7 linked regions of the Rattus norvegicus genome follow. The protein of the gene in region 4 interacts with the protein of the main gene of each other region in a pairwise test. Links are inferred from orthologs where the notes say so. Each region holds a gene or a part of one and is shown on either strand. Other genes may lie near its edges. The genes, in order: Glul, Rab3il1, Evi5l, Nudt18, Apip, Hsd17b14 and Dut.

Evidence for each region.
Region 1: the proteins of Nudt18 (region 4) and Glul interact in a two-hybrid assay, tested with the Homo sapiens proteins (2 studies listed by BioGRID and IntAct). The two-hybrid records come from large-scale screens. The link is inferred for Rattus norvegicus from reciprocal best matches to the Homo sapiens genes NUDT18 and GLUL.
Region 2: the proteins of Nudt18 (region 4) and Rab3il1 interact in binary tests that used the Homo sapiens proteins (3 or more experiments, as listed by UniProt). The two-hybrid records come from large-scale screens. The link is inferred for Rattus norvegicus from reciprocal best matches to the Homo sapiens genes NUDT18 and RAB3IL1.
Region 3: the proteins of Nudt18 (region 4) and Evi5l interact in binary tests that used the Homo sapiens proteins (3 or more experiments, as listed by UniProt). The two-hybrid records come from large-scale screens. The link is inferred for Rattus norvegicus from reciprocal best matches to the Homo sapiens genes NUDT18 and EVI5L.
Region 5: the proteins of Nudt18 (region 4) and Apip interact in binary tests that used the Homo sapiens proteins (3 or more experiments, as listed by UniProt). The two-hybrid records come from large-scale screens. The link is inferred for Rattus norvegicus from reciprocal best matches to the Homo sapiens genes NUDT18 and APIP.
Region 6: the proteins of Nudt18 (region 4) and Hsd17b14 interact in binary tests that used the Homo sapiens proteins (3 or more experiments, as listed by UniProt). The two-hybrid records come from large-scale screens. The link is inferred for Rattus norvegicus from reciprocal best matches to the Homo sapiens genes NUDT18 and HSD17B14.
Region 7: the proteins of Nudt18 (region 4) and Dut interact in binary tests that used the Homo sapiens proteins (3 or more experiments, as listed by UniProt). The two-hybrid records come from large-scale screens. The link is inferred for Rattus norvegicus from reciprocal best matches to the Homo sapiens genes NUDT18 and DUT.

Annotation. Positions count from the first base shown.
Region 1 is NC_086031.1:68,574,726-68,578,865, reverse strand, and holds the start of Glul (glutamine synthetase), read right to left. Parts: upstream 2,801-4,140; 5' UTR 2,682-2,800; intron 2,331-2,681; exon of another isoform or gene 2,309-2,330; intron 2,018-2,308; exon of another isoform or gene 1,693-2,017; coding exon of another isoform or gene 1,604-1,692; intron 39-1,603; coding exon of another isoform or gene 26-38; coding exon 1-25. UniProt on the Homo sapiens protein: Glutamine synthetase that catalyzes the ATP-dependent conversion of glutamate and ammonia to glutamine.
Region 2 is NC_086019.1:216,086,419-216,090,703, reverse strand, and holds the start of Rab3il1 (guanine nucleotide exchange factor for Rab-3A), read right to left. Parts: upstream 2,801-4,285; 5' UTR 2,705-2,800; coding exon 2,694-2,704; intron 1-2,693. UniProt on the Homo sapiens protein: Guanine nucleotide exchange factor (GEF) which may activate RAB3A, a GTPase that regulates synaptic vesicle exocytosis. Promotes the exchange of GDP to GTP, converting inactive GDP-bound Rab proteins into their active GTP-bound form.
Region 3 is NC_086030.1:7,341,492-7,344,991, reverse strand, and holds part of Evi5l (EVI5-like protein), read right to left. Parts: intron 2,021-3,500; coding exon 1,923-2,020; intron 1,832-1,922; coding exon 1,771-1,831; intron 1,586-1,770; coding exon of another isoform or gene 1,526-1,585; exon of another isoform or gene 1-1,525. UniProt on the Homo sapiens protein: Functions as a GTPase-activating protein (GAP) with a broad specificity.
Region 4 is NC_086033.1:52,058,968-52,063,096, reverse strand, and holds Nudt18 (8-oxo-dGDP phosphatase NUDT18), read right to left. Parts: upstream 2,801-4,129; 5' UTR 2,724-2,800; coding exon 2,562-2,723; intron 2,518-2,561; exon of another isoform or gene 2,240-2,517; intron 2,085-2,239; exon of another isoform or gene 1,741-2,084; coding exon of another isoform or gene 1,699-1,740; intron 1,632-1,698; coding exon 1,418-1,631; intron 1,210-1,417; coding exon 614-1,209; 3' UTR 275-613; downstream 1-274. UniProt on the Homo sapiens protein: Mediates the hydrolysis of oxidized nucleoside diphosphate derivatives. Hydrolyzes 8-oxo-7,8-dihydroguanine (8-oxo-Gua)-containing deoxyribo- and ribonucleoside diphosphates to the monophosphates. Hydrolyzes 8-oxo-dGDP and 8-oxo-GDP with the same efficiencies.
Region 5 is NC_086021.1:109,910,919-109,913,455, reverse strand, and holds the end of Apip (methylthioribulose-1-phosphate dehydratase), read right to left. Parts: intron 1,206-2,537; coding exon 1,038-1,205; intron 681-1,037; coding exon 581-680; 3' UTR 501-580; downstream 1-500. UniProt on the Homo sapiens protein: Catalyzes the dehydration of methylthioribulose-1-phosphate (MTRu-1-P) into 2,3-diketo-5-methylthiopentyl-1-phosphate (DK-MTP-1-P).
Region 6 is NC_086019.1:105,164,303-105,168,494, forward strand, and holds the start of Hsd17b14 (17-beta-hydroxysteroid dehydrogenase 14), read left to right. Parts: upstream 1-1,392; 5' UTR 1,393-1,458; coding exon 1,459-1,546; exon of another isoform or gene 1,547-2,342; coding exon 2,343-2,381; intron 2,382-2,498; coding exon 2,499-2,581; intron 2,582-3,509; coding exon 3,510-3,576; intron 3,577-4,192. Other genes in the region: Plekha4 (pleckstrin homology domain-containing family A member 4), read left to right, coding at 323-435, 535-797. UniProt on the Homo sapiens protein: Catalyzes the NAD(+)-dependent oxidation of L-fucose, yielding L-fucono-1,5-lactone, which rapidly converts spontaneously to L-fucone-1,4-lactone. Can also act on D-arabinose and L-galactose, with lower catalytic efficiency. Does not use NADPH.
Region 7 is NC_086021.1:132,959,399-132,962,898, forward strand, and holds part of Dut (deoxyuridine 5'-triphosphate nucleotidohydrolase), read left to right. Parts: intron 1-1,936; coding exon of another isoform or gene 1,937-2,109; exon of another isoform or gene 2,110-2,495; coding exon of another isoform or gene 2,496-2,628; exon of another isoform or gene 2,629-3,160; coding exon 3,161-3,235; intron 3,236-3,366; coding exon 3,367-3,437; coding exon of another isoform or gene 3,438-3,453; intron 3,454-3,500. UniProt on the Homo sapiens protein: Catalyzes the cleavage of 2'-deoxyuridine 5'-triphosphate (dUTP) into 2'-deoxyuridine 5'-monophosphate (dUMP) and inorganic pyrophosphate and through its action efficiently prevents uracil misincorporation into DNA and at the same time provides dUMP, the substrate for de novo thymidylate biosynthesis.

The sequences.
Region 1 (4,140 bases), on a different chromosome or scaffold from region 4:
AGTGGGAACTTGCTGAGGTGGCCATGGTGGAAGGTGTTCTGGAGAGAGACGAAGATCGTTCGGTTAACATCTACTCCAAAGGGATCCCCTGCAGGAGTGGCAAAGGAGTCAGACTGGATGGAGGGCACCGTGCTCTCTCTCCTTTGGGACTCAACACACGTAAAAGGTGCTTTATTCACTCTGTTTGCAAGAGGTTTAACGTTTCCTACTAGACAAAGATCGTCCCCCTCAGGGGGACTAGTTAAGGGATTTTAATAACTGTTAACCTTGAGATACATTAGTAAAACAGAACAAAATATCAAAAAGCTCATTAACATAACTCATTCCACCCAACAGAACTACCTCACTGCCACAGAAAGCCTTGACTAATGGACTGTTGAGCCTTCCTTTGTCACCTCCTATTCCTGTAACAACCTTAAGGGACACGCACACCCCATCATGACCCCTAGTCCCTGCATTTAGACGGTTTACCTAGTTATGTAGCCCTGGGATTTGCGATGTAGACCAGGCTAGCCTCATACCCACATCGGCCAGCCTTGGCTTCCCGAATGCTAAAATTAAAAGTGTGTGCCACTGCCAAGTTAGATTTAACAATGATACACTGGAGCTAGTAAGATTTTACACACTCACATACTCCTCGGAGAAAGAAAAACAACCCTGTATTAAATGCCACCACTAATGTGGTGAAAAGTAAAAGCCATACTTGAACGAGTACACTGCTGATTTTGGGGGGGGGGGGACGGAATTCTCTACAAGCCCTCTCTGTCCTGGTACTCATTATGAAGACCAAGATTTCCTGAAATCAGACAATCTACCGGTCTCCTGAGAACTGGGATTAAAGGTATTCCCCTCTACACCAGGCCTCAATGGCTGACTTCATTACTGGGATGAAAAGTCCTTCCTCCAGAGACAGATTTCAATGCGAAAATTACAGTATTTGAGAAGATCCCACCAGATGATATTTTCTGGTGAGTAGAAAAAAATCCCACCTCTAATAAAGACCCCGGGGGCACAAGATTACAAGTCACAGGAGCAGGGGACAAGATCCTCTATGAATCAGAGCCTGCAAAACCAGCCTCAACCCAAGAGGAAACATCCCCCTCCCTAATCACCCAGGATAGATGGAAAGGGAACATATTGTTCTCCTCCCAGCGACTTGGGCAACTTTCTGAAGTACAGTGGCAAAGTTTCTACGGGCAACTGTCCATGTTTGCCCAAGTGAAAACAAGTGCTTCTCCCTCCAAAAGCCTAACCCTTTCCCTGGGGAACAGATGAATCTCTGCGGTGGATTTCTACACAGAACCAGAACCTCTACCTACACCACTCCGAGGCCTGGACTGTAATTCCAGATGGCTTCAACTTACACCACCCAATTCTCTCTCGGCTTGCCTCTCCTGTGGCTTACACATCCAGCATTTAACAATCTTTAGGTGAACCTGGGTTCCTCCTCTGTTCCTGGAAACCAGTTGGGTACCAGCAGCCTAGTGTACCTAGCACCAACTAGTGTCCCTGTGGTGCAAAGTGGAACGGGTTCTTAAGATTCTGAGTAGTTTCTGCTTGTTGCCAGATGCACCCGGGTCCTTCTCCCTGCCTTTTTACTCACCCCAGCCAATGTGAATCAAATACATTGAGGTTGTACTCTCTAATCCTCCTCTTTTTAGAGTAGTGTTCGTTCCTCTCCTCCAGCTCCATTTCTCGCTGGTCTAAGCAACGCTGCTTTCTGGGTGAGGGCGATGGGATGGGGGACCCAGATCGTTCGGAGTGGGAGGTGCTGGAATAAGTAGGCTGGTGGGATTTAACCTTAGCCCTCGACTTCTCCCCGTTGTTCACAGAGTAGGCAACGAAGCCGAAGGTATTAGAAGGGGACTCTGAGAACCGAGACTCTCCATCGTCTATGTCTTCAGCCGGTGCTTTCTTTGAGTATTTGCGGTTGGGGGAGGATCCCCGCTTCCCGCCCCCGGAGGAGTTGGGGTAATCCACTTTGAGAAGCAGCCCTTCCCACTAAAATAACCGGAAAGTCGGCGCCCCGACTCTCGGACCCCCGCAGATCTCAAGGCCTCTCCCAAGGGGCCATACCCCGGCGAGGACAGAGGCCGGACGGCGAGAGTGGAGCGACGGCGGGAGGCACAGCGTGCTGCTGCTGCCTCCGCCCGGCCCCGCCTCTCCACTGCAGAGCCCTCCGGCCACTCCGGGGTCCCGGCTCTCCATTGTTCGGTCATACGGTAAAGGCGTTGCGTGCTGGCGAGTGGTGCCACCAAAGCTAACGACCACCAGCCTCAACCAGACCACCCACAGCGTGACAACTCACCCAATCGCGCCGCCCAGAGAGGATCAAGGCGCCGGCGCCCACTTAAGGCAAGAAGAGCGCACTCCCGCTGGGACCACCGAGTCGCCCCGGATCTCGGCTTGGTAGCCAACCCAGGACGCCCGCCTCCGGGGCGGCGCCTCCCGCCTCAAGTAAAAAACAGATCATAACAACCCGCAACCCCGCCCTTCCCGGAGCCTGGCTCACAGCGCGCCCTAGGAACGCCAAACAGAGCCGGCCCGAGCCGCACGCTACAAGCACGCGGGAGGCACGAACGCTGCATCCCGCGCCAAGCAGCAACAGACTGGAGCTGGGATGTAGAGTGCGACGCCACAGCCCGGGTGGCTGTGCACCCCTGGACCCTCCGTGCGCTTACCAGAGCGGTGGCCGGCAGGATGATGGATGGGTGGACAGGCCACGAGAACGAGACGAAGAGCGGAGAGGAAATGGGTGTGCTGCTCAAACACTCCGCCCTACTCCCATTCTCGGCTGTGCAGGGTTGCGGGCTGCTCAGTACTTTTTATTGGCAGCTTGTGCCCGCCCCCAGGCGCCCTGATTGGCTGGCCTAGGCCTGGAACCCCGTGCCCATCAGTTGCTGTGCACCGGGGCCCTGAGACCATTGGCCCAGGAGCCGTGAGGAACCGCGGGGTGGGGCGAGCGACCCAGAAGAAAGAAAGAGAAAGGGGAATGGGGGAGGGGAGGCAGCGGCGGCTGGGGGGCCGGGGCCGAAGGTGCTGTGCGCCTTTGCAGCACGCGTTCTTTAGCGACCTCTGGACCCTCGGACCCAGGCTGAGACTGTCTCAGCGTCATTTGGCCTTGGTCCTTTGCTACCTTAACAGTACAGAGGTTTTCGGAGAGATCTGTCGGTGAAAATCCAGAACCCCAGAAGAGAATTTTACCCTTTGTTGAGCGAGCCAGAGACAGACAGGATTCCCGGAACCTGGAGGACCCCATCTTCCTGGCTTCCTGACTGGGTTTGGGGGATGTGATCAGGCTGTGATTTCACGGTTTAAACACAAGTGTGACGTTTCTATAAAGAGGATTTTTGAGGACCGTAGACTGACTGACGTTGCCTTGTGTGTCTCGCAAGTCTCTGAGCCTCTCAGTGCCCGAGTTCCTTAGATCTGCAAAATAAAGCAGATGGAAGGACTTTCAAAGCGGTCCACCAGACTTGAAGTCAGGATGCAGACCGTGTGCTAAAGAGTGGTGGTGGCACATACCTTTAGTACTAGCACTCAGGAGTCAGAGGCTGGTGGATCTCCGGAGTTCGGGGCCAGTCTGGTCTACAGAGGGAGTTCCAGGACAGCCAGGGTTTCACAGAGAAAACGTGTCTCAACAAACAATAAGAAAGCAAGGGAAGAAAGAAATCCCTGCTTTTGCTTCTTGTTTGTTTTTAAGTATGTGGGGAGCGGGGCGGGGGGGGGGGGAATGAGTTTCTCTTTCCTTTCTTAACCCTGCAGTGTTGGCTGAGATAATGTGTAAACACTATGAGACAAACTGAAAATGTGCACAGAAATTACCTGTAAAAATAGACGTGGCCCATATATTATTAATGCCACGTTCTGAGCAATCTGTGTCTAGTACATGAAATCTACCTCATGTCCGGTCTTTATTATATGTTTTCAGGAGCCCTGGTGTTTGAGATGGAGATTTTCTAACACCAGAAATCCATGCTCTTGGTGCCTTTGGAAGAGGAAGGGATGGAGTTTGTTCTTCTGGTTATGTTTTGCACCACAAATATGAAAAAGAAATGTTGCCTGTGACCACACACACATAGCTCGGCCTCTTAAGTCAACCTCTGTCAACTCCCCTAAGTGTGTCTAACACTGTGGCTC
Region 2 (4,285 bases), on a different chromosome or scaffold from region 4:
CTGTAGGAGATGGAGGAGGGGAAGCCCAGTCTGCGGTCTGTGGGGGAGGTGGAGCCCCTGGAAGTGAGGTTAGATAGCTAGGCATAGCAGTGCAGCATCCTGGAGGCTAATCAGAGAGGGTTAAGAGTTCTAGGCCAGTGAGACGGTTAAGGAGGAAAGAGGCTTGCTGTATAAGCTTGGGGGGCCTCAGTTTGATCCCTAGAACCCACATAAAAGTAGAGTACCAAACCCACAAAGTTGCCCTCTGACCTTATCATGTGTGTGTGGTGACACATGTGCTCTCTCCCTCCATCTTACGCACACTTACACACACACATACATACACACACACATACACACACATACACACACACATACATACACACACATACACACACATATACACACACATACATACACACATGCACACTTACACACACACATACATACACACACACATACACACACATACACACATATACACACACATACATACACACACATACACACACATACACACACATACATCACACACACATACATACATACACACACATACATATACACACACCATACACACACACACATACATCACACACACATACATACATACACACACATACATATACACACACCATACACACACACACACACACACACACACACACACACACACACACACACCACACTAATAAAAATGTCTTTAAAGAGAGTTCCAGATCAGTTTAGTCTACATGGTAAGAACCTGTGTCCAAAATAAAGCAAACCAAAACGACACTTAGGTTGGCTATGCAGCCCAGTTGCCTGAGTCCTGGCCCAGAACACAAAGGTCTAGATCCTGTCCTCCTCACTTCTAAACTCTAAACCAGGCATTGTGGCACATGCCTGTAATCCCAGTACTTGGGAGATGGAGAGAGAGGGTCATCCTTGGCTATACAGGGAGTTTGAGGCCAACCTGGGCTACATGAGACCCTGTACCCACTTCCTTTACTCCAAAAATCAGATTAGTATGGCCATTTACTTCAGAGTTCAAGGTTTATCTTCAAAAGGATCTCTACTCCTGACTCCTACAGGATCCAGCCAGTCACTTTGGCTTATCTCCATTTAGGACTCTGCCGTAAACAAACACCATAGCTCAGTTCCATTTACAGCAGGAAGCCAGGCCCCAACCCTTCCTGGGCTAGGATACATACCTCCTAGGATATAGCCCTTAGAGTTGACATCAGCTTCTAGGGATCTCATAGAGTGACCTGCAGTGTGTGACCCAGAGCGTGGTCCCTCTTAACAGCTGTAGGGAGTGGACTGCTCCAAGGCCCCTAAGTCCCCAGAGCATTCCGAACCCTATGTACAAAGGCTGGGAGATGGCTTAGTGGGTAAGAGTGGGACACAGCACCATGAGAATCAGTGGTGTATACTAGCCACCAGCTTGGCTAAACAAGTCCCAGGGTTAGTGAAGAGACCTGGGAATACAGTGGAGACAGGAAGGACACCTGGCATCTCCTCCGGTAACACATACCCCCCCCCCACACACACACACACACGCACACCCAAAGTACTCAAGCTGACTCCAGCCCAGAGAAGGGGAGTTGTCACCCTAAGGGTTATACAGCAACTGTCTCAGTTCGCCCAGCAGAAAGGCTCACAGCTCCTTTCAGACCAGGCTGCTCCTCAAACACACAGCCTCAGGCAATGCATCCCTAAGTGGGATTGCCTCAATCTGAGGCAGGCTCCTTGAACCCATCCAAAACACTTCCCAAGTCTAGCTAGCTTCTTTCCCTGGAGCAAATTCCCAACAAACACAGGCTGGCTTCTGCTCCCTCTAAAAGATCAAGCCTGCCTACACCTCCCGGGAGCTCAGTTCTGGTGCCCTGGCTGGGGTTGAAGCGGCAAAGCTCGAAGCTCCCCAGCATTTCAGCTCAAACTCAGCTGGGGTCCATGAGAGTAAATAGATCTTACCTGTTCCCCTCCCCAGGGTTTCCTCCCTCCGCTTATCTATCGTGCCTATCGTCTGCCTATCCTGAAACAGTTCTTAGCAGGAACACCCCCAAGACCCTTTGCAGCCCAGGAAGGAGAAGGCATTTGCCTAAATTCAAGAAAGGACATCAACTTTATGTGAACACGAGGCTGGGACTCCTACTAGACTGGCCAAGAACAGGAGTCAGCCTTAAGAACCGATGGCCCTTCCGAAAAAAAGAACCAAAAAAAAAAAAAAAAAAAGAACCGATGGCCCTAACAGATGGGAGTGGGGATGAGGGGTGGGAAACGGGTTCACTCAGGACTCAGGGTCTATGCCTATGCCCCTCCAGGTTCCAGTCAACTAGCCAGAGACCTTGGAGAGACACAGCTAGCTTTCTCAACTGCACTGCTTCCCCAGAGTTTATGGGTGTTCCCTCCTTTAAATGTGTGCCCCAGTTTGAGGTATACATACTACTTACTCATCCCCATCACCACCACTTCTCTCATGCGCTCCACTGGAGCTAGGATCACCCTTCCCACCCTGGGGCAACTCAGATCGGTCCTGCCAAGGTCCTTTCAGATCTCAGGCTGCAGTGTGTCCTCATGCTACAATGCACCTCGCCGCAGCAGGCAGGGCTGAGAGTACAGATTATTTCCCAAGTGGGGTACAAACAACAGCAATGATCCCCTGTTCTCCCATCCCAGGAGGCCAGCGTGGCCCAGACCGAGCGCAGAGCCACCGGCGTGCGGGGACCTACCCGCTCCACATCCCGAGGTCTCCGCCGCAGCCGCGTCCACGCGCACCACCAACTCTGCCGGGCCCCAGAGCTGCCCTGCCGCCTGTCAATCGCTCCTCCGCCAGTCTGTCCCGCTGGCCGCCAAGGGTTTGCGGCTCCGCCCCACCCCAGACCTTCCCCTGCCCTGGGCGGGTCACGTGTCCTTGAGGCGGGCCCCAGGCCACGTGCCCGGCCCCGCCCCTCTGCCGGCCCAGCCCTGTCCCTCTTGCTGCTTGGGGACAATGACCCTCCGGAGCGAGAACGGGACTGGTCCCATCATCTCGCATCCAGATCTGGCTTCCGCCTTTCCCTATCACTCTCTGCCTTGCACTTTTAAAGCACCCTTGCTTGAGAACCTACAATGGCTCTCGGGGATCTCAGCTCTATTTCTCGGGCAGATTGTCACTCAAAGTGGGCAAACAGCTCCTGCACCCTCATTCAGACTTCTAACCCTGTTACCAGACTCTGGAGCTCATAGCTTTGCATCAATCCCAGAGTGACACTGGGCTTCTGGGAAGGGGGCGGGGCAGACCCTAAACGAATATTCATTGAGCGGTTTAAGCTAAGAGAGCACTACTTCGGCCCAATCTTACCAGCTTTGCTTCCAGGCCCCTCCTCTTATATCTCTGAATACTAGTTCATCCCAGCCTTCGAGCCATCCTAAACTCTGGAGACTACTCTGCCAACCTCACTAGCACCTGTCTGTCCCAGGTACTTTAAAAAAAAAATCTGTAAAAAGCTTGAATCCTTTGCCACTTTTCCCTCAGTTCCTATGCCCTCCTTTTATCCTAACCACTGACCTGAATGAAGTTCAGCCTCAGATCAGGATCCAACAAGTAGAGCCCAGAGTCAGCCCCTCCTTGAGAACTAAGACCAGCTCCCACAGGCAGGGTCTACAGCACTCTCTGGGCTTTTAAGAACACATCTCACTCATCCATCCACACAAACAGGCATTCAGCTGCCCCTTCTGAACTGCTCAGGCCACGTGAAACCAAGAGTTTCTCCAGGCCGGAACTCCTACCTCCCTCTCTCCTTTCCCTTAGGCCCCTCTTCCTCAGTGGGTGTGGGTCATATACTGCCTAGGTTGGTCTCCAGACCCTGGGCTAAACGGACACTTCCTCCTCAATGCCCTCATTGGCTGCAACTGCATGCTTGGCTTATGGAATTCCAGTATGGTAAATGGGAGACCTCTACTGCCAGACTTGCCTAGAACCCACCTTCACCAACGGATTATCTCTTTTAAAAACAGAAAAGAGGGGTTGGGGATTTAGCTCAGTGGTAGAGCGCTTGCCTAGGAAGCGCAAGGCCCTGGGTTCGGTCCCCAGCTCCGAAAAAAAGAAAAAGGAAAAAAAAAAAAAAAAAAAAAACAGAAAAGAAAGCCAGGGAATGATGGCACGCACCTTTAATCCCAGCACTCTGGAGGCAAAGGGAGGCAGAACTCCGAGTTCAAGGCCAACCTGCTCTACAAAGTAAGTTCCAGGACAGCTAGGACTGCTACACAGAGAAACCCTGTCTCAAAAGTCAAAAATCAAAACAAAATAAAACCCCACAACAGCAAAAGAAAGCCCACCCAC
Region 3 (3,500 bases), on a different chromosome or scaffold from region 4:
AGCAAATAAGGGATTTGTTTCTGTTACTTTATTTGGCTTTTGTGAGACAGGGTTTCTCTGTATAGCTCTGGCTGTCCCATAACTTGCTCTGTTGACCAGGGTGACCTCAAAACTGAGAGATTCACCTGCCTCTGCCTCCGAGTGTTGGGATTAAAGGCATGCATCACCACCTCCCAGCATCAAATCAGGATGTTTTAAGACAGGCTAAAAGTGAGAGACCAAACTGCAGGACACTTGTAAGATACCCTGTGAGGAGACATCTGCCTGACTCTTCAAGGCCTCTGGTGAAATCTCTTCTCAGGGGAAACTTTCAGTCTGGCCTGTGGTCTCAAGGTCTATGGCATTCTTGTCTATTCTGGGCCTCACAGTCTCCTGATGAGAGCAGGCCGCTCATCTGCACACAGCAAAAACCACATTTGGTCTAGTGCAACACTTCCTTGTGAGATGGCTCACAAACCCAGGATGGAAATCTTTCTGGAAGCCTCAACAGGGCCAAGTGCTTCAGCTTGCGGCACAGGCCTCTGCCCCTGACTTCCCACAGGAGGTAGAAACAATGCACTGGAGGCGGACAGTGACAGGAACATCACAGCAAAGCTCCAAGGCTCAGAGAGGTGAATTTACCTGCCAGGGCCACACAGCTGGTCTTCAGTGGGACACCAGTGCTAACCACTTTGATTCATCAAGTGTGGAGGACAAAACCAGGTCTATATGGAGGTTCGTGTCCTTGCCTGTCCCCTATATTGGGTTGTAGGGTCCTTAACCTGGCTAGCAGGCTTTGGGAACGTGTAGCTAGCTGGTCAGTTGGAGTAGGTGGGTATGAGCTTTTCTTTCTCCTCTCTTCTACATCCTGGCCCTGGGTTGTACCTGGCAGCACCTGGGCTTCCTTGGAAAGATATTGAGGGACTCTCAATGCTCAAGAGTGCCTTTATCTGGGAAGCCAGGTCCTTGTCACTTAAGACTAGGTCTCATCTTTGTTTCAATAGATGTTTGTTGGGGTTGGGGATTTAGCTCAGTGGTAGAGCGCTTGCCTAGGAAGTGCAAGGCCCTGGGTTCGGTCCCCAGCTCCGAAAAAAAAGAATCAAAAAAAAAAAAAAAAAGATGTTTGTTGGATGAATGGCTAAAATCACATGAAGAGGGGTGAAGAGGCCATTGAGAGGTAAGTTTGGTTTTGGACGTTTTGTGCACTCAAGGAACTGACGCTGGGCTGGCTGGCTGCTACAGTACAATCAGGACCCTGAGTGGATGACCATACCTTAGCCTACATAGCCTGCTTGCCTGAGCCTTTCTCCTTAGCTCCCAACCTCTGTGTCCCCAGGGTGTTCTCCTGTCCACCAGGCACATTCTTCTATCCTAGGCCCTCTACACTGGACTCTTGGACCTAGAGTGTCTCCCCAGATGCGACTGTCTCTTGTATGACTATATCCGGAGCACTCTGGAATCCACACTATTTCAGTGATTTATTGACTATCGCCCCATGACATGGGGGGTTCGGGGACATGAAAGCAAGGAACTTTGACTGTCTTGTTTACTGTTGTGAGGCCAGCTTTGAGGACATGCCAATTGGGGAATGCGCTCCCACGCGGGGCTGGCAGGTGAAGGAAGGGGCAAGTGAGCGAGGGTAATCCGGAGCCAGAAGTTGTCCGCCCAGGCCAGCCCGTTCTATCCGTGCATGCGCTAGCTAGGACTGCCCTCTAGCGGGCAGCTCTGGCTTTGCGAGGGAAAGCCTCAAGGCAGCCCATCTTTGCCCTCCCTCACGCCTCTGGAACTCACTTTGATCTCGATCTGCTCCTCCATCTCCTTACTCTTCATAGCTGCGTACTCCTTCTCCAGCCTGCGGGGACGGGGCACACGGTCAAAGTCCCGCCTCCCTGAGGTGAGGAGGGCTTCCCTTTTGAGTTCTCCGTTCGTTCCCGGGCACTGACCTCTTCATCTTTTTAGGGTTGTACTTGACCTGGTAAGCCTTGAGGACCAGCTTGTCTGGGCAGCTGTCAAACTGGTGGGGGATCACTCTCTGGAAGTACTGTGGAGACACAGAGAGTTACGATCACTTGGGTCCCGGCCACCAGGGTTTGCCTAGGCTCCCACTGTATCCTGCTACTGCCTGGGGCTTCCCTTTGTCTCAGCCATCTGGGCTGTCTGTCTTTGGTTACTCAGCCAATGTATGTTTTTAAAGATATTTATTTATTTATTTATTTATTTATTTATTTATTTATTTATTTATTTATTTATTTATTTATTTATTTATTTATTGTACACTGTAGCTGTCTTCAGACACCAGAAGAGGGCATCAGATCTCACTACAGATGGCTATGAGCCACCATGTGGTTGCTGGGATTTGAACTCAGGACCTCTGGAAGAGCAGTCAGTGCTCTTAACCACTGAGCCATCTCTCCAGTCCCCAAGCCCCCTTTTTTTGTAGTGCAAATGAATTGACTGTAGGAGAAGGAACAACTAGGGAAGGAGGGAGACCTGCCTTCCCAGCATGCTTTCTGGTAAGCTTGAGAAAATCAGGCGGGTTGAAAGTGGGGATCAGCTTGGCCTGTAAAGGAATGTACTGCCCAGGGCCTGACCTGAGTTCTATCCCTGGAACCAACAATGGAAAGAGTAAGAGAGAACTCAGAGTGGAAACAGAATTGAACTGTGAGTATTGTGAGCCATGAGCCACCTTCTTCTCTCTCCCTCTCCCCACCCCCACATTGACCCTAACAATAAATAAAACTAAGACAATCAGGCTAGAGGACCTCCTGAAGGCAGGGCTGGGATGAATGGGGTCTGAGCATGGGGGAACTCTCCTTAGGAAGTGGGTAGACAAGCCCAGAGGTCCTATTCCTCTGCCCAGCTGCTCCAGTCAGGCAGCCTCGGACAATGTATGCCCGTGTTCGCAGACACAACTGTGGTCTTTGTGCATTCTTTCCTGAAGCACCAGCTGGAAGATGCTGGGAGGGTTAGGGGCCTGTGTCATGGGGAAACCATGGTGAGGGCAAAGCTGGCTTCTGATTTAGCAGGCTGTGCCAGGGGAAGGCACAGGCAGGGAGGAGCACGGTAGGAGGCTACCTCAAGATACCTGGCTCCTTTCTGTACCCCCAGGCTGAAAGCTGAGATGAAAACATACTAAACACCTCTCAAAGTCAGCCAGGGGTTACTTTGCAGGCAAGCTCTGGGGACCTGCAGCAGTGGGTAGGAAAGAGTCAGTAGGACCTCCCCAGACCAGCTGCTGTTGGCTTCTTCTTCTCCCCAGTGCTAGGTTGCTGGCTCTGGGTTCTATCTGACAGAGCCTGGGGTTCCTCAGGGCAGAAAGGATCCCAGATGCTCAAGAGTGACTTCTATTGGGAAGTCACTCCTCCCCCACCCCCCATCACTTAGAATCTTGGTTTGTTTTTTGTTTTGGTTTCCTTTTTTTCAATACTGAAACTTAAGCTCAGAGATCTGCCTGCCTCTGCCTCTCAGGTGCTGCAATTAAAGGTGTGCACCACCACTGCCTGGCCTATTTCTTAGAATCT
Region 4 (4,129 bases):
CCATAGGCAGTTTCACCAGACCAAACCATTCACCACCTGGACAGGTCTGAGCTCTGTTTTTATTAGGGGTGTGGTCACTTCAAAGTCCCACGCCTGCCCCAACAGGACAGAAACACTAAAGAGAGCCTGGGTGGGTCGAGGCTTCAGTGAGGAGCAATGTCTACTCCAGGAGCCCTACACCCCTGCATAGAATCAGTAAGGAAAGACCTGGGTGGCTATGGGTGGGACAATGCCCCATATCCTCCCCACACAGACATTTAGGCAAGTAGGCAAGTTAAGCAACACCTTTTTACTCAGCAATGAGGACTCTGCCCTGAGGGATGCATCCCCCTTGTCCCATCCCCCTCTACATTGCTGTGGGGTTGGAAGGATTGACATGCGGCCTTTTCCAAAGTGGACAGAGAAGATGGTGCCATTTACGGTTCGAAAAGCTCCTTTCAAACTTAAAGAGAAGCATCGTGTGCCCTCAGAATGACTGGATTCATGGCACCCTCCCTTTGGGCTCAATGTGTAGTTCCTGTACCTGAGTAATGTGCAATGAGACCCCTGACTGCCAGTCTCTTCACTGCCTCAGAGGGAGGGTGGCTGCTCAGCTTTTGGTCACTGCTGGTATCTATCTGGTCAGGGGGACAACAGAAGATTCCTGGAGTCTGTGTAGAAGCTGTTTTTGTAAGTCTTCCTCCAGTACCTTCCACCAAAAGTAGTTTTCCCCCCGAATCTTTGGGGGCTCATCTTGGATTCCTGGGTTCCGAAAAGCCACTGTCACCAGCACATTCAGGCAGATACCATCCACGTGGTCTCTGCCGAGATGTTGCAGCCCAAGCAACCCCTTGGTCTCCACTGCCAAACTGTGCAGAGTCAGACACTCTTGTAGTAGCCTCAAGATGGCCACCTTGATGCCACCTCTTTGTTCCATAGGGGTAAAGCCACAGGCAGTGATGGGCAAGTGAGGTGTCCCCACTGTACCCACCAACACCCACACTGACTGAACTGTTGTAAAGGTGGCCACCAGCCGCTGGCAGACCATATTGCAGGGAAGCTCTTGAGGCAGAATGAGAGGGTGTGTGGCTTGTTGGCAGAATTTGGCACCTAGCTCTACCAGGTGCACAACATCATGAGCTCTAAGCGGTGTGGGCAGGGAGACCCGTGGGTACCAGCCAGCCTGTAGGGACTCAGAATCAGCATTCTTGGAAGTCTTGAGAACTCCACCTAGGAGAGATTTGGAGGATGGGGAGAGGGCCAATATGAGAAGTGTAGAGCCTGAGAGAGTAAATGGCCCCCCAAACACCCCCAGGAGACCCCAAAACTCTTAGCTTGTAGCCTCTTAGCCTGGGCAATGTGCAGAAGCCCACAGTATGGCTGGCTAAGAAGAAGAAACAATAAGAAAGGTGCTTGAATGCTACCAGCTGTGTTGTACCTGTTGGTCGAGCAAGGAATACAAAACGGATCCAAGAGGCACCCCTCTCCTCCACAGACAGCAGTGTCACTGGCTCACAGAGCAGCCCAGCCTCCTCCTTCACCTCCCGCTGCATGGCCTCCACGATGGTCTCCCCTGGTTCCATTCTTCCTGCCGGGAGGTACCATGTTCCCCGGCATTCTCTCTTGGCCTCCTGGATCATCAACACCTCATCCTGAGAGGGAAGCAAGACAATCTTCACTTTCCAGCTAATCTGGGAGCTTCAAAAGAGCAGCTCCTACCTGGATGGTGGTCCAAAGCTCCTTTAGTAGAGACACCTTCATGATGCTGGATCCCCAGGAGCCAGGCCCTGGTGAGGCTGAGAGCTGTGGCTGCCTCCTTTTTGTTGTAACTCAACTTTGGACCCGGAGGAATTTCTGTTGTAGAAAGGGTCTGAGGTCCTTGGGCGTTGCTCTAAGGAGGCCTCATCCTGAAGGCTGCCACCACTCCTATACTGACTCATTTATGCCACTGTCTTGCTCTTGTTTCCATGTGACTTACAAACCGCTTGTGTCAGATCCTCAATCTAAGATCTGAGGCTTTGAAACTCAGCTCCACCTCCATACCAGCCTACCCCTACTTGACCAGGATACCCGCGCCCCCCCCCCCCCCCCCCGGAGCTGGGGACCGAACCCAGGGCCTTGCGGTTGCTAGGCAAGCGCTCTACCACTGAGCCAAATCCCCAACCCCTGGCCAGGATTTTATAACGCTGACTTATACAGAGGTAATCACTAAAAAGAACTCTGAGGGTCGGAGGCCTGCATGTAAGCTTCCCATTTCTACCCTTGGGGCCGGGAGAGTCCAGGAAATCCCCGTTGCATGTCAGGCACTGCTAGACTCCTGGAAAGGAAGGAGGAATACTACAGGCCTCTCCTGGTGTGGGACGAGGTCTAGTGAATGAGATAACTGCTCCGGGACCTCAGCTTCTTCTTCTATATTATAGAGTCTATATAAGGACAATCTCTGCTCAGTTGCTAGTGTGAGAGTGCTTTGCAACATTGGGATCGCCACGCACAGGCAGCGGCCGTTGGCTCGCCTGTTTCGATCAGGGCAGGCGGCACGCTCCCGAGACCAGCCGAAGGCTGGCTAGTCGTCGGACGCTCACCTGCTCGTTGAGGAACACGGCCAGCACCACGTAGCAGACATTCTTCCGCAGTCGCACGGGCAACAGCGGCTTGCCAGCCGGCTCCGAGTCACAGCTCTGCACCAGCAACCCCTTCCCCCCCAGCACGGTGGCCAGCGCCCCTGCCAGGCCCTCCGTGGCCATCAAGTCTCCGGGGAGGTGGCAGGCCGGGACCTGCCAGACCCCCGGAGGCAGGCAGCAGGGACTTGAGCTGCGGTGGGCCGCTCCCCCCCCCCCCCCCCCCTGCCTTGAGGGCCAAGTCTAACGCGGAACCTCCGGGAGACATCTGGTCTCTGATAGGCTGCGCATCACTGCGGCCTGCCCGGATTGGCCATCTCGCAGCGGTTACCGAGGGGGCGGGGCTCCGGGATCCTCCCTCTGCCCCCTCCTCTCCCGGGGTTTAGCCGCTGGTCGCTCACTCCACACTCTCCCCAGCAATTAGCTAATTCACCCAGCACGCACTTGTCCGTGCGGGTTCCGACGGTGATGTCATCCTGCCTGTAGGGTGATGAACACCACCGTGACCAGGGTCGATGGCGTCACTTGTCCGATGACATTACGGAAGCCGAGGCTCCGCCGTTTGCTCCCACCGGTCCAGCTTTTACCATAAACAAACTAGAGAAGTGCTCAGGACAGATTGGCCCCAAATAACTTTCTGACTTCGTTAAAATGTTCTGAGACACATAACGTTGCGTTAGGAATTCTGCTCTGTCTAGGTCGACGGACACAAGCCATTTTAAAAGTCCTAGGCTAAAGGGTTGGTTTGGGGGATAAAACAAAACAAAACATGATTGACAGGCCTTAGAGGAGGGGTAGGACAGGTGGTCAAGGTGGGACAGGGCTGGAATGAGAAGAAGCTATTGGGGGATGAAAAGGAGCTTTAAGTCAGCACTGTAGCCTGTATCCGATTCCTATGCTCAATGCATTTCCCTTGTAGTTTCAAGGCTTCTGAAGCAGACTACATCTTTAGAGGGCAGGGGTGGTGCCCTCCTACCCAGCGTTCAGGTCCTGGCCATGGGGAACAGGGTGTGGATTGTTTTGGCTAGCTCCTGCTTCTCTCCCAGCCTGACCTTTCCTCCTCTGAGCTTCTTTAACCTCCACTCAGGACAGGAAGGCAGGGCCAGCTGGGAGGAATCCACAGAGCAGGCCAAGTCTGGGCTCCTCACTCCATCCCTGCCTTCCCTTCCCTCCTCCCAGCCTTCTGCTGGCTCTGTGTACCTCCTTTGGGGGACAGTGGCTTGGTGGTGCTGACACAGCTCTGGAGTTTAAACCAGACATCCAGCCACTCCTGGCTGACTTGCTCTGTGTCCTGGGTGGCCTCAATGTCCTCATCTGTACAGTAGGTCTGTAACAGCCCTCCTTTTCCATGCTTGTTGAGAAGCCAAGATAGCAGCCTGGGAGAAGCTGTGGACTGACTATTTGAACCAGACAGCCCACCTATTCTCTAGGTAGGATATCAAAGCCATAGCCCATAGAACACACCAGCACGCGAGAACACACACACACACACACACACACACACACACACACACACACACACACACACAGAG
Region 5 (2,537 bases), on a different chromosome or scaffold from region 4:
TTCATTTGTTACTCAGACAACTTAGACTGGAGGGAATTTCACACAATGCTCTTAATATTTTTGATGATGGGTACTCACTAAGCCTGTGTAGAAGAAGTACTACAGTATATAAGGGAAATCAATACAATTATCTTTACATCAAGTAAGAAGGACACACTAATTTTAAATAGTTCATGTATATTTTATGCATCAACTTAAAATAAAATGGTTATCCCATAAATAAGTGGAAAATTTCAAGGAAATTCTATGATTACCAGTGCTTTAAAGATAAAAAAGAATTCTCTGAGAATGCACACAAAAGGAATTAACTTGAAGGCAAACATTTCTCTTATAATCTTTAAAATGAGAAAACACTAAATAAAATACGTTCTTATTCCCCCCTCCCTGTCCCCTAAAACTGTAAGAATTTAAAGTCACAGGAGATTATCTGGTAGTATTCAGTATAAGAGACCATTGGTAGTATTCTGTGACAAATTAGTGACATCAAGAGAATTTCCAACTCATTTAAAAGTAGCAGAGTTTTATTTAAGGCGTAATTGAGTTTGTTTTATTTTTGGAGATTCTTAGGCGTCCACTTGGCTTATACGATTCCATGTTCTCCAACTGGGAACTGCGTTGGATCCAGCCCCATCTTCTTCATGGAGACAGCAATGTCAAACAGGTAATCATAACACTCACACCTGTAGAAGAAAGAGCAAAAGGCCTGCACGTGTGTGTCTGGACAGAGCTCTTTTGATCCCCATATCTCCCTATGTGAGCTCTGCTCTGCTCTTCCTACATTTTTCTCTTATCTTATACCAAAGGTTTTCTGTTTTGACCCCAACAATTTCCTAACTGAAAGCTGATTCAGTCACTACTCCCCAATGATTCAACAGAGTGAAAATCAGCTCTCCACAAGTAACATAGATTACTGAAGTTGAAACATGTTGACCAACAATATGTAAAAGACTCATATTTCATTCTAAATCCTAAACCCGTTGAGTTCTTTCCACATTCTGAGTGTGATTTGTACCAAATATCCTCAGATTCGGTCTTACATGGTTTTTGCTTTCTCCCATGTTTCTCCCCACACGTACACCCCGTGACGCCTGACTAGAACTGCACAGGAGTCTGGGTATTCATTCATGGCACGAGCCATCCGTTCTTTGAGGTCCTTCTCTTCAGGAGTGTTCTCAATAATGGGTACCACTAATATATCATCGTATCTGTAAGACAGAACAAGACATTTTCCCCCATTAAAGTATCAATAATCGATTTCTGATTTTTCCCGTCAGTAACCAGTCAGAAACTCTTTATCTCTAAATAGCACTCCGATTTCTCCAACTTCAAAACAAGATGTGGCAAGAGTCTTGTATATCTTGTATAAACATTTATACCAAAAGACACCTTTGGAATTTGGCAGGCAGCCCTAAGTTTAGATGGCAGGAACTTGTACAGTATACCAGAACCTAACAAAGAAATCAAGATCATACAAGTATTTCCTTGAAGCAAAGATAATCATAACATTTTAAACATGAGATAGGAGATGATATACCTCACACACAGAAGTGCAGAAAGGAAGAGACATTGAACTATATATTAACAATAGGAACATTTCCCAGCAGTATAAAAAGAAATCATTATATTTCATCTCGGCAGAATCCTAAAATGTCTTGACAGGCAAACCAATCAATAGAGGTGTGGTTTGTGGCACCAGATTAGAAAGACCCTTCTAGCAACAATTACCAAGGTTACGATAATCCTTTCAAAATAATCTCAAATCTGCTGTATTAGAACTTTCTACCTTTTTCCTCAATAAATACATGAAATAAAGTCAGAATATAACAAAGTTCAAGCAAGCAACTTTGCTATAAATAATCTAAGCCTTTTCTTGAGTTCCCTTGTAACCAATGACAACTCAGACAACTTTTCATTTAATCATGGATTTCTTTCAGGCTGCCTTCTCATCGAACAGTGAGTAAACTTAATAAGCATTCAAAGTGTTATCAGAAATGACCACTTTCAGGCTGGCATAGACTAGGGAGCTGTTGTGTGATTAATAATTTGGGCAACCATTATCATGGTAGTATAGACTTGCCCATGACTCCATTGTAGTTCAGACAGAAGTAATTATACAATATTCATTGTATAATTGGAAGGAGAGAATTGCTGGCCTCAGATCTTTCCTGAAACTACCCAGAAGACTGGCAGACTTGTATTTTCCCATAGCATATACCACACAGTCAGAAATATTTCCAGGCACAAAATAATTTCAAAGCACAGTGAGACCAGAAAATAATTCAAGCCCATCCCTCACTTTACCAAGAGGATATCGATCCTCACAAGTTAAATACATGTGAAACAGAGCCACACAAGTCCTTTGACTGGCCCTTAGTATCCTTTGCACTCTAGCAGAGCACAGTGTTTCCAACGTGGACAGCAGCTACATTAACGCATGCTTACCTCACTTGGTAACAGGAAGTGTTTAATGCTGACTTTGTTTTGCTTGGCTCTGCTGCTGAGGACTGAACCCTGGGCCTTGTGAGTCCTCAGCTCGT
Region 6 (4,192 bases), on a different chromosome or scaffold from region 4:
GGGGTGGGGGGGTCAATTCTTGATGCAGACAGGGGAGCAGTGGTGTTATTATAGTTTCCTGTGTACCAAACAAGTCCCCAGAACTTCTGAGTCCCTTGAGTTCCCGAGGTAACTACAAAAAAGCCAGGAAGCCCCTGGTGGTGGGTCAGAGACTGCAGAGCTCTTGTGGCCTGAATCAGATCCAGCTGTTCATCCAGTAATGGTGACCTCCCTGCTGGTCTACTGGTAACAAAGCCTGTGCTTAACGTCCTCTAGATAAAAGCTAGGAAGAACTCCCCGGGAGCCTCGGTGGCCTGTTTGACACGTGGCTTATTTTCTGTAGTCCTAGGCACTCCACAACCTACTCACCCGTGTCTGGAGGCCACCGGGAACGAGTGCTCAGCCTCTCCCAAGCTCTTGCTACAGAGGCTTCCCAGTGGCACAGGCTGATGACAGGTGAGGTGCCCAGGCTCTGAACCCCCGCATCTGAGGAAGGAGGCCTGGAAGTTTGGACTTTACACGTTTAAGTTAACACTTTTCTCATTCTCCGTTTAGCCTCTCCAGAGAGAAATTTGGACACCAGGGGAGACTGTCTCCAGCCAAGTCCACAGCCTCCCAGTGAAGAGCTGCCCCAGGTCACCTCGTCCCCAACTTCTCACAAGGCTAACTCGGCTACCACAGGGTTCTCATGCCAAGGGAGTGGGAGAGGCCTGGCTCCGTGGGAGCCCAGGTGGGACCCTGGGAAGGCCCCTCCAGCTCTGGCCCAGGAAGAGGGGGCATGGCCCCTGAGAGTCACTCTGCTGCAGTCCAGCTTTTGACTCCTGCCTTTGCACTGGGTGCTAAAGGCTGGAAGCACAACCTTGAGGTGTGGGACCATTCAGGACCACAGGGGAGAGGTTCATTTCAGCCTGTGTTCTAGGAGGGCCGGGGCTATGATGGTCAAAGATTGATTATCCCAACACTGTCCGAACTTGGATTAAAACTTTGAACTAGTCAATAAATAGCTTTATTCTCTCTGTGGTTGTGACATTGTGTTCTGACAAACAAGCGTCAGGGCCTTGGATTCACAGGACATTGGGGGGCTACATCTTAAAATATGGGTCTGAGGGAGGAGGTTGGAGTCTGGATCCTGAGTCAAGGCAGAAGTGGTGCTGGTCTTACAAGTCAAAGGGAGCAGGGCTAGAGTCAGTCTGAGGGGGCAGAGCTGGGGTGGGGGTCCCTGAGCCTGGAAGAGGAGTGTCAGGATGGGGATCCCTGGGTCTGAAGGAGGATCATCACGGGTGGGGACCCTGGGTCTGAGAAAGAGGGCTAGGAAGGAGAGTCCTCAGTTCTCCTAGGTGTGCCTTCCTGGGAACTCCCCCTGCCAGGGTCAGCCTTCAGTGACCCAGCCTGTATATCTGGTTCCACTCCCCCGCTTCTCTGGACTTTAAAGGTGGGAAGAGGCCCAGAGGGTGTGGGACACGAGCGAGATAGCTGGGAATGGCTGCAGTAGGCCGATATTCTGGGAAGGTGGTGGTGGTGACTGGGGGCAGTCGGGGCATCGGGGCTGCGATCGTGAGAGCCTTCGGTGAGTAAGGGTCTTCCCGCCTGCTGCCTGAATTGTAGGAGAGAAAGAGCGGCTGGCAGAGGCTCCCACAGTGGGAGGAGGAGACTCAGGTTCATTTCTTTAATGATTTGTTTGTTTTTAATTTTCTCTGTGCGTTGTCGTTGTACCTGGGTGAGGTTGTCAGATCCCTCCTAACCGGAGTTATAAACAGTTGTGAGCTGCCATGTGGACGGTGGGAACTGAACCTGTGTCCTTTGGAAAAGCAGCCAGTGCTCTTAACCGCTGAGCCATTTCTCTGGTCCCTCCGTTTCATTCTTACATGAATCCATTTGGATTGTTGGGTCTTTGTTGATAGGTCGGTCATTAAAAGTTCTTCCACTGGCCTGGCAGTGGTGGTATATGCCTACAATCCCAGCACTTGGGAGGCAGAGGCAGGTGGATCTCTGAGTTTGAGGCCAGCCAGGAGAGTGAGTTCCAGGACAGCCAGGGCTACACAGAGCAACTCTATCTCAAAAATCCAAAAAAAAAAAAAAAAAAAAAAAAAAGTTCTTCCCCAGATGGGTCCCTAGCTGCAAATGATAGCTTTGTGTGTTTTATTGTTTGTAGGTTTTGGATTTTTCTAGAATCCAGGATGGGGGCCAAGCAGTGGCTTAATGAGGAAGGGTAATTTGTTGCTCTTGTGAGTGGAGACAATCTTGTGAGAGAGACAATCACGAGAGCCGCCAGAGAGGCAGGTGCTCTGGTGGCCACAAGAGGGCAGCAGAGGCAGTGACGCAAGTCTGCAGGGCAGGTAACATCGTTCTCTTTCTGTTGGCAGTGGACAGTGGGGCTCAAGTGGTTTTCTGTGACAAGGATGGTGAGTGAATCAGTGTTCATCTCTCCCTTGCCTCATCAATGATCTCTGCATAGCTCTCCTCCCTCAGACCCACATTCCTAAGCCTCCTCCCTCGGACCCAGAATCTTTCTCTTGCAGAGGCTGGGGGCCGGGCTGTGGAGCAGGAACTCTTGGGCACTGTCTTCATCCCCGGTGACGTGACTCAGGAAGGAGATTTACAGGTCAGTGTTTTCTGTCCCACACTCCATCGCCAGTCCCTCTGGGTATCCATGCCCTTGTCACCTCCGTCCTTCTGCCCTCTTCTCTCTCAGGTCTTTAGGAATGATCAGGACTTGAACTCTTGGCTCCTGTAACAAGTTTCTGACTTCCTGGCACTCAGAATCTCTTATGTGTTTCCAGGTCTAGCTCCTATCTGGGCCTCTGTCTTTCTTTGTCTCTCTGCTCCCCACTGCACTCGGGTCTGTAGACTCTCCTTCTGAGGCTCTGTCTTCTGCACACACACCCCTCCGAAGTCTTCTAAAATGGTGTGCTGGTTAGTGTTAAATCGACTGGACACAAGCTAGAGTCATTGGGAAGAGGGAATCTCACTAGAAAATGGCCCCACCAAATTGGCATGTGGGCAAGCCTGTTGGTCACTTAATTAATTAGTGGTTGATGTGGGAGTTTCCCCAGCTCCCTGGGGGTTGTGACATTGCAGGGCAGGTGGTCCTGGATAGTCTAAGAAAAGGGGCTGGACGAGGCATGGGAACAAGCCAGCGAACAGTGTTCGTCCACAGCCTCTGCTTCAGTCCCAGCCTTGAGCTTCTGCTCTGAGTCCCTGTCCTGGCTTCCCTCAGTGATAGATATGACCTGGGAGCTGTAGGCAGACATTAATCATCTCCTCTCCAGGTTGCTTTTGGTCATGGTGCTTATCACAGCAATAGGAACGCTGTGACAAGTGGCAACTGTGCTGTGTGGATCAGTCCTTTTAGTCTGGGTCCTCGACTTCCTGCATCCTCCTCTCTTTCTAGACCTATTCTGTGGCCCTGGTCCCCTTCCACCTCACCCTACCCTGTCTTCCTTAGCTGAGCCCATCCTTGCCTTGGGCCTCCTGGCTTTTCCAAGGCTGTCACCTCTCAGCTCATCACCTGCTCTTTCTTCTCTCCTCAGACTCTGATTTCTGAGACTGTCTCTCGATTTGGTCACCTGGATTGTGTGGTGAATAATGCCGGCTACCGTAAGTTGTGTGGTTTGGAGGCCAGTGTCCCTGACATCTACTTATACCCTCTTCCCCATTCCTCTCTTAAAAATTATTGCCCTATCTATCTATCTATCTATCTATCTATCTATCTATCTATTATCTATCTATTATTTATCTATCTGTCTATCTATTATCTATCTGTCTATCGATGTGCATGTGTGTAAGCGTGTGCTTGCACAAGCACTCGCACTCTCATGCACAGTAAGTACTTCTCTGGTGTTCAGTGCAACAAGAGGGAATCAGTTCTCTCCTTCGGCCATGTGGGATTGAGTTCAGGTTATCAGGCTTGGCACAAGTGTAAAGGTACAGTTGAGCCATTTCAACAGCCCAATCCTTCCTCTGAACCTCAGTTTACCCCTTCCTCAGGACACATAGCCCTCTGCCTCCCGCGTGCGCGCACATGTGTGTGTGTGTGTGTGTGTGTGTGTGTTTACACTTGCATGTATGTCTGTTCTCCCCTTGCATGACTGGTGCCCACAGAGACCAGAAGGAGTTGGATCCCCTGCAACTGGAGTTACAGGCAGTTCTGAGCCACCATGTGGGTGCTGGGAGTTGAACCTAGTTCTCTGGACCAGCAGCCATGCTCTAAACC
Region 7 (3,500 bases), on a different chromosome or scaffold from region 4:
CGCCCTCCAGGTACTTGGAATTGTAGGCCTTTGCCACCAGAGCCAGCATTGTTTTGGTTATTTATTTGCTTGCTAGTCTTAAGATTTTCCCATTTTCATGTTCCAAGCACATAAAATGACCTGGCTTCATAGAATTCAGGACACCTAGCTATTTGAATACAGGAGAACTTGCAGATACACAGCAAAAGGGTGTGTCTCGTGTGTGTGTGTGTGTGTGTGTGTGTGTGTGTGTGTGTGTGTGTGTGTGTGTGAGACTAGAAAATTACTATATTTGCAACTCATGAAAAAACACATTAAAAATCATAGACAATATAGAAACATGTATGGACATACAAGTGTTCATTATTCATACAGAAAGATGTCAGCCATGGGGAAAGGAGTGCTTTCTTTATTATATTGGCCAGCAGTTAAACTGCTACCATCTGTCCTAGCACAAATGGACCCTCAACTATTGCTGCTGGAAGCTGGAATGACTGCTGCTTTGGGGGGTTATCTAGCAGGGCCTCATATACATCTCCATCTGTGGGATGTCATACAGGTGAGGGTGGGTACAGGATAGAACCAGGCCTGTGATTGGATGAGAAGAAAGGATGGGCGGGAGAAAAGTTTGAGAGAAGAGGAGGAGACTAGAGGAGATGGTGGAGAAGCCACAGAGAGAACACGGCTGACGTTAAGATTCCATGCTGTGCCTTTACAGGTTGTTATGAATCAATTGGATCAGAGGTTGTGTGTTCTTTCTTGTGGCGATTTGTCTTTGGGAGAGGGTGTGGTGGCAGAGACATTGGGCCGCCATGGAGCTAGGATGTGTGCTTCTGATGAGATATCTTGGGGCACTACAGTGCCAAACCTAGCTGGGTAAAAGACAGCCCCTTTTTATAATTTTACAACAACATCCATCCTTTGACCCACAGAAGTTTTTGTAACTTCCTTGAGTTAGCACTAATGTACAGGTATATACATCAAGGACTGTTCTGTGTATGTCATAGCAGAAACATGAAGGCAACATAACTAACTGGTTTTATGTAAGACAATATTCATGTAAAAGTACTGGCGTTTTTTCTACATGTGTATCTAGAAGGAATGGCTAGAGTTCGTGCTGTTTCAGAGGATAACTGCTTTGGTTTTTTTTTTTGTTTTGTTTTGTTTTTGTTTTGTTTTTTTTTCGGGGCTGGGGACCGAACCCAGGGCCTTGCGCTCTCTAGGCAAGCGCTCTACTGCTGAGCTAAATCCCCAACCCCCGGATAACTGCTTTGGTGTCAATGTCACTGTTACTTCCTCAGATGGTGGATAAGATGGGGCCATACCCAAGCTGAATGAGTACACAGCTTGGAATGAGCTCAGAACATTTCCCTCTGTTTGAACTAGATCTAGACGTGGGCCTGGAAGCTTCTAGCCTCTGTACAGTCTAATCTGCGAAGGTGACTGATTCAGTCCAGCTTCTCCTGGCTTCTGAGCTCTGCCTAACGGTCTCACCCTGACTTGGACAATCTGTTCTAGTTGTCTGGCTCCTCCGTCTCTGGCTCATTCTGTCTTCATCTGTGTTTAGCTTGTTCTCTCTGCGATCTGTCTCTGTACGCTACTCCCCCACCCCCTTACGTACGTACGTACGTACGTAGCCTCTCTTCCTGTGCTGTTCATTGGGTGTCTGCTCTTCAGTTAGCTGTCACTTTCAAGCATGGCTGCTTTCCTTCTACAAACTGACCTTACCTTCACTGTTAGAGGTTGAAGGTGTACTAAGGGCATGTCTATTCTGACTGGATCATAGAGACATGAAGTCTTTGGATGTGATCCCTTGCCAGAGCAGACACACACTTTGGGTGGAAGAGTTAAAGTGATTATAAATTTTGTTACTATAATGTTGACTTCGCCTTGTGCATGGTGATACTGTTTGAGTAACCAAAAGAATTTGGAAGTCAGTCCAAGTTGTCTTCCACAGATTCACTTGCAATAGGCCTATTAGGCTGTACCTCAAAGGTCTTCCACGGTGGAAAATTTCCAGCCTTCTGTGATCATTCATTCCAACATGGAACAACTTGCTCTGTACTAAGGACTTGCCTTGTTAAGTGCAAGCGACATCATCTGCAGTCAACCTCTCTCCAAAGAGTATGAAAACAGCCGGCCCAATCTTCATGTCAGATCTTTTCCTAAGTACTAAGGACTAAACTAATAAACCGGTAAAAAGGAAACCTTATATAATAATTTGAATTGGTGAAAGGTTTGTTACTGTTCTGCTAAAAAAAAAAAAATAGATCGTCTAGACAGAATGAACTGCCTTTGACATGTGAATTAGATCTCCATGTTAGAAACGGAGGGCTGTTAGCCACATTATCTGTGCTTCTGTAAACACATCAAGTTCCTGGCTCCGGGACAGCTGAGGGCAAGTCTGGGGCATGTATCTTCTGGGCCGCAGCAAGGTCTCCTTTAAAGATCTATTTTACTTTATAATATCAAACAGGTACTAATTAGACATTTAAAACTAATCTTGGCCCAGCAAGATGGCTCGCTGGGTCCTCGCCTGCTCCGAGCCTAAGGACTTGAGTTCAGACCCACGTGGTGGCAGGGGACCCTTGGCTGAGCGGTTGTCTTCTGACCTCCACACATGTGCTGTTGCAACAACAGAAGTTTCAGGTGAACTCATTAAGCTTACCAGCCAGTGTTTATAGAGCGACTGGTTTTTAGAGGATGGGGTTGGAAATGAAAGGAAGAATGTAAGCATTGGCTCCGCCCCTATTCTAATGGCTGCAGGACGCCACTGAGCATGTGGCCACTGACCTCCCAGTGCAGGTCACCCGGCTTTGGAGCTTGTTCATGACTCAGAGTATCCGTGAGGCTGTTACCAAGAAGATGTGAGGTCCGGGCTTTAATTTTCTCATCTTCTCCAATGCAGGGCCTGGGTAGTGTCCTGGAGGTGGGAGATAGTACGAGCTGTGCTCAGCTTGCAGTGGGAAATGCTCACCACTTGATGAGCATTCAGACTGAAATCCGGGACACATTTTTTAAATTCTTGTATTTTAGTAAAACTCGTTCTCAGGCTCCGTAGGACCAGAGTGTGGCCTTGTCAGTTGTAATCTCAGAGACTCTTTGGAAAGGTGGTTTTGAGATCAGTGCAGACCCCCGATGTTCTGACGGCACGAATGAAGCTGACATTACTCTCTTCCAGCCGGTGTCATAGATGAAGATTATAGAGGAAATGTCGGCGTCGTGCTGTTCAATTTTGGAAAAGAGAAGTTCGAGGGTGAGTTAAATATGTTCATGTATGTAGAAAATGTGAGCTACCTGTGTCAGTGTAACTGACTGGTTCTCACTGAACAAGACAGAAAATAGGTCAGTACACATGGTGATCTGTGCTCTGCTCTTTCTTTGAAGTGAAAAAAGGTGACCGGATCGCGCAGCTCATTTGTGAGCGGATTCTTTATCCAGACTTAGAGGAGGTGCAAGTGAGTGTTGCTAACAGTGAGTGGAGAATGAATGATGTGTCCAGCAGAGGGCGGATGGCTCAG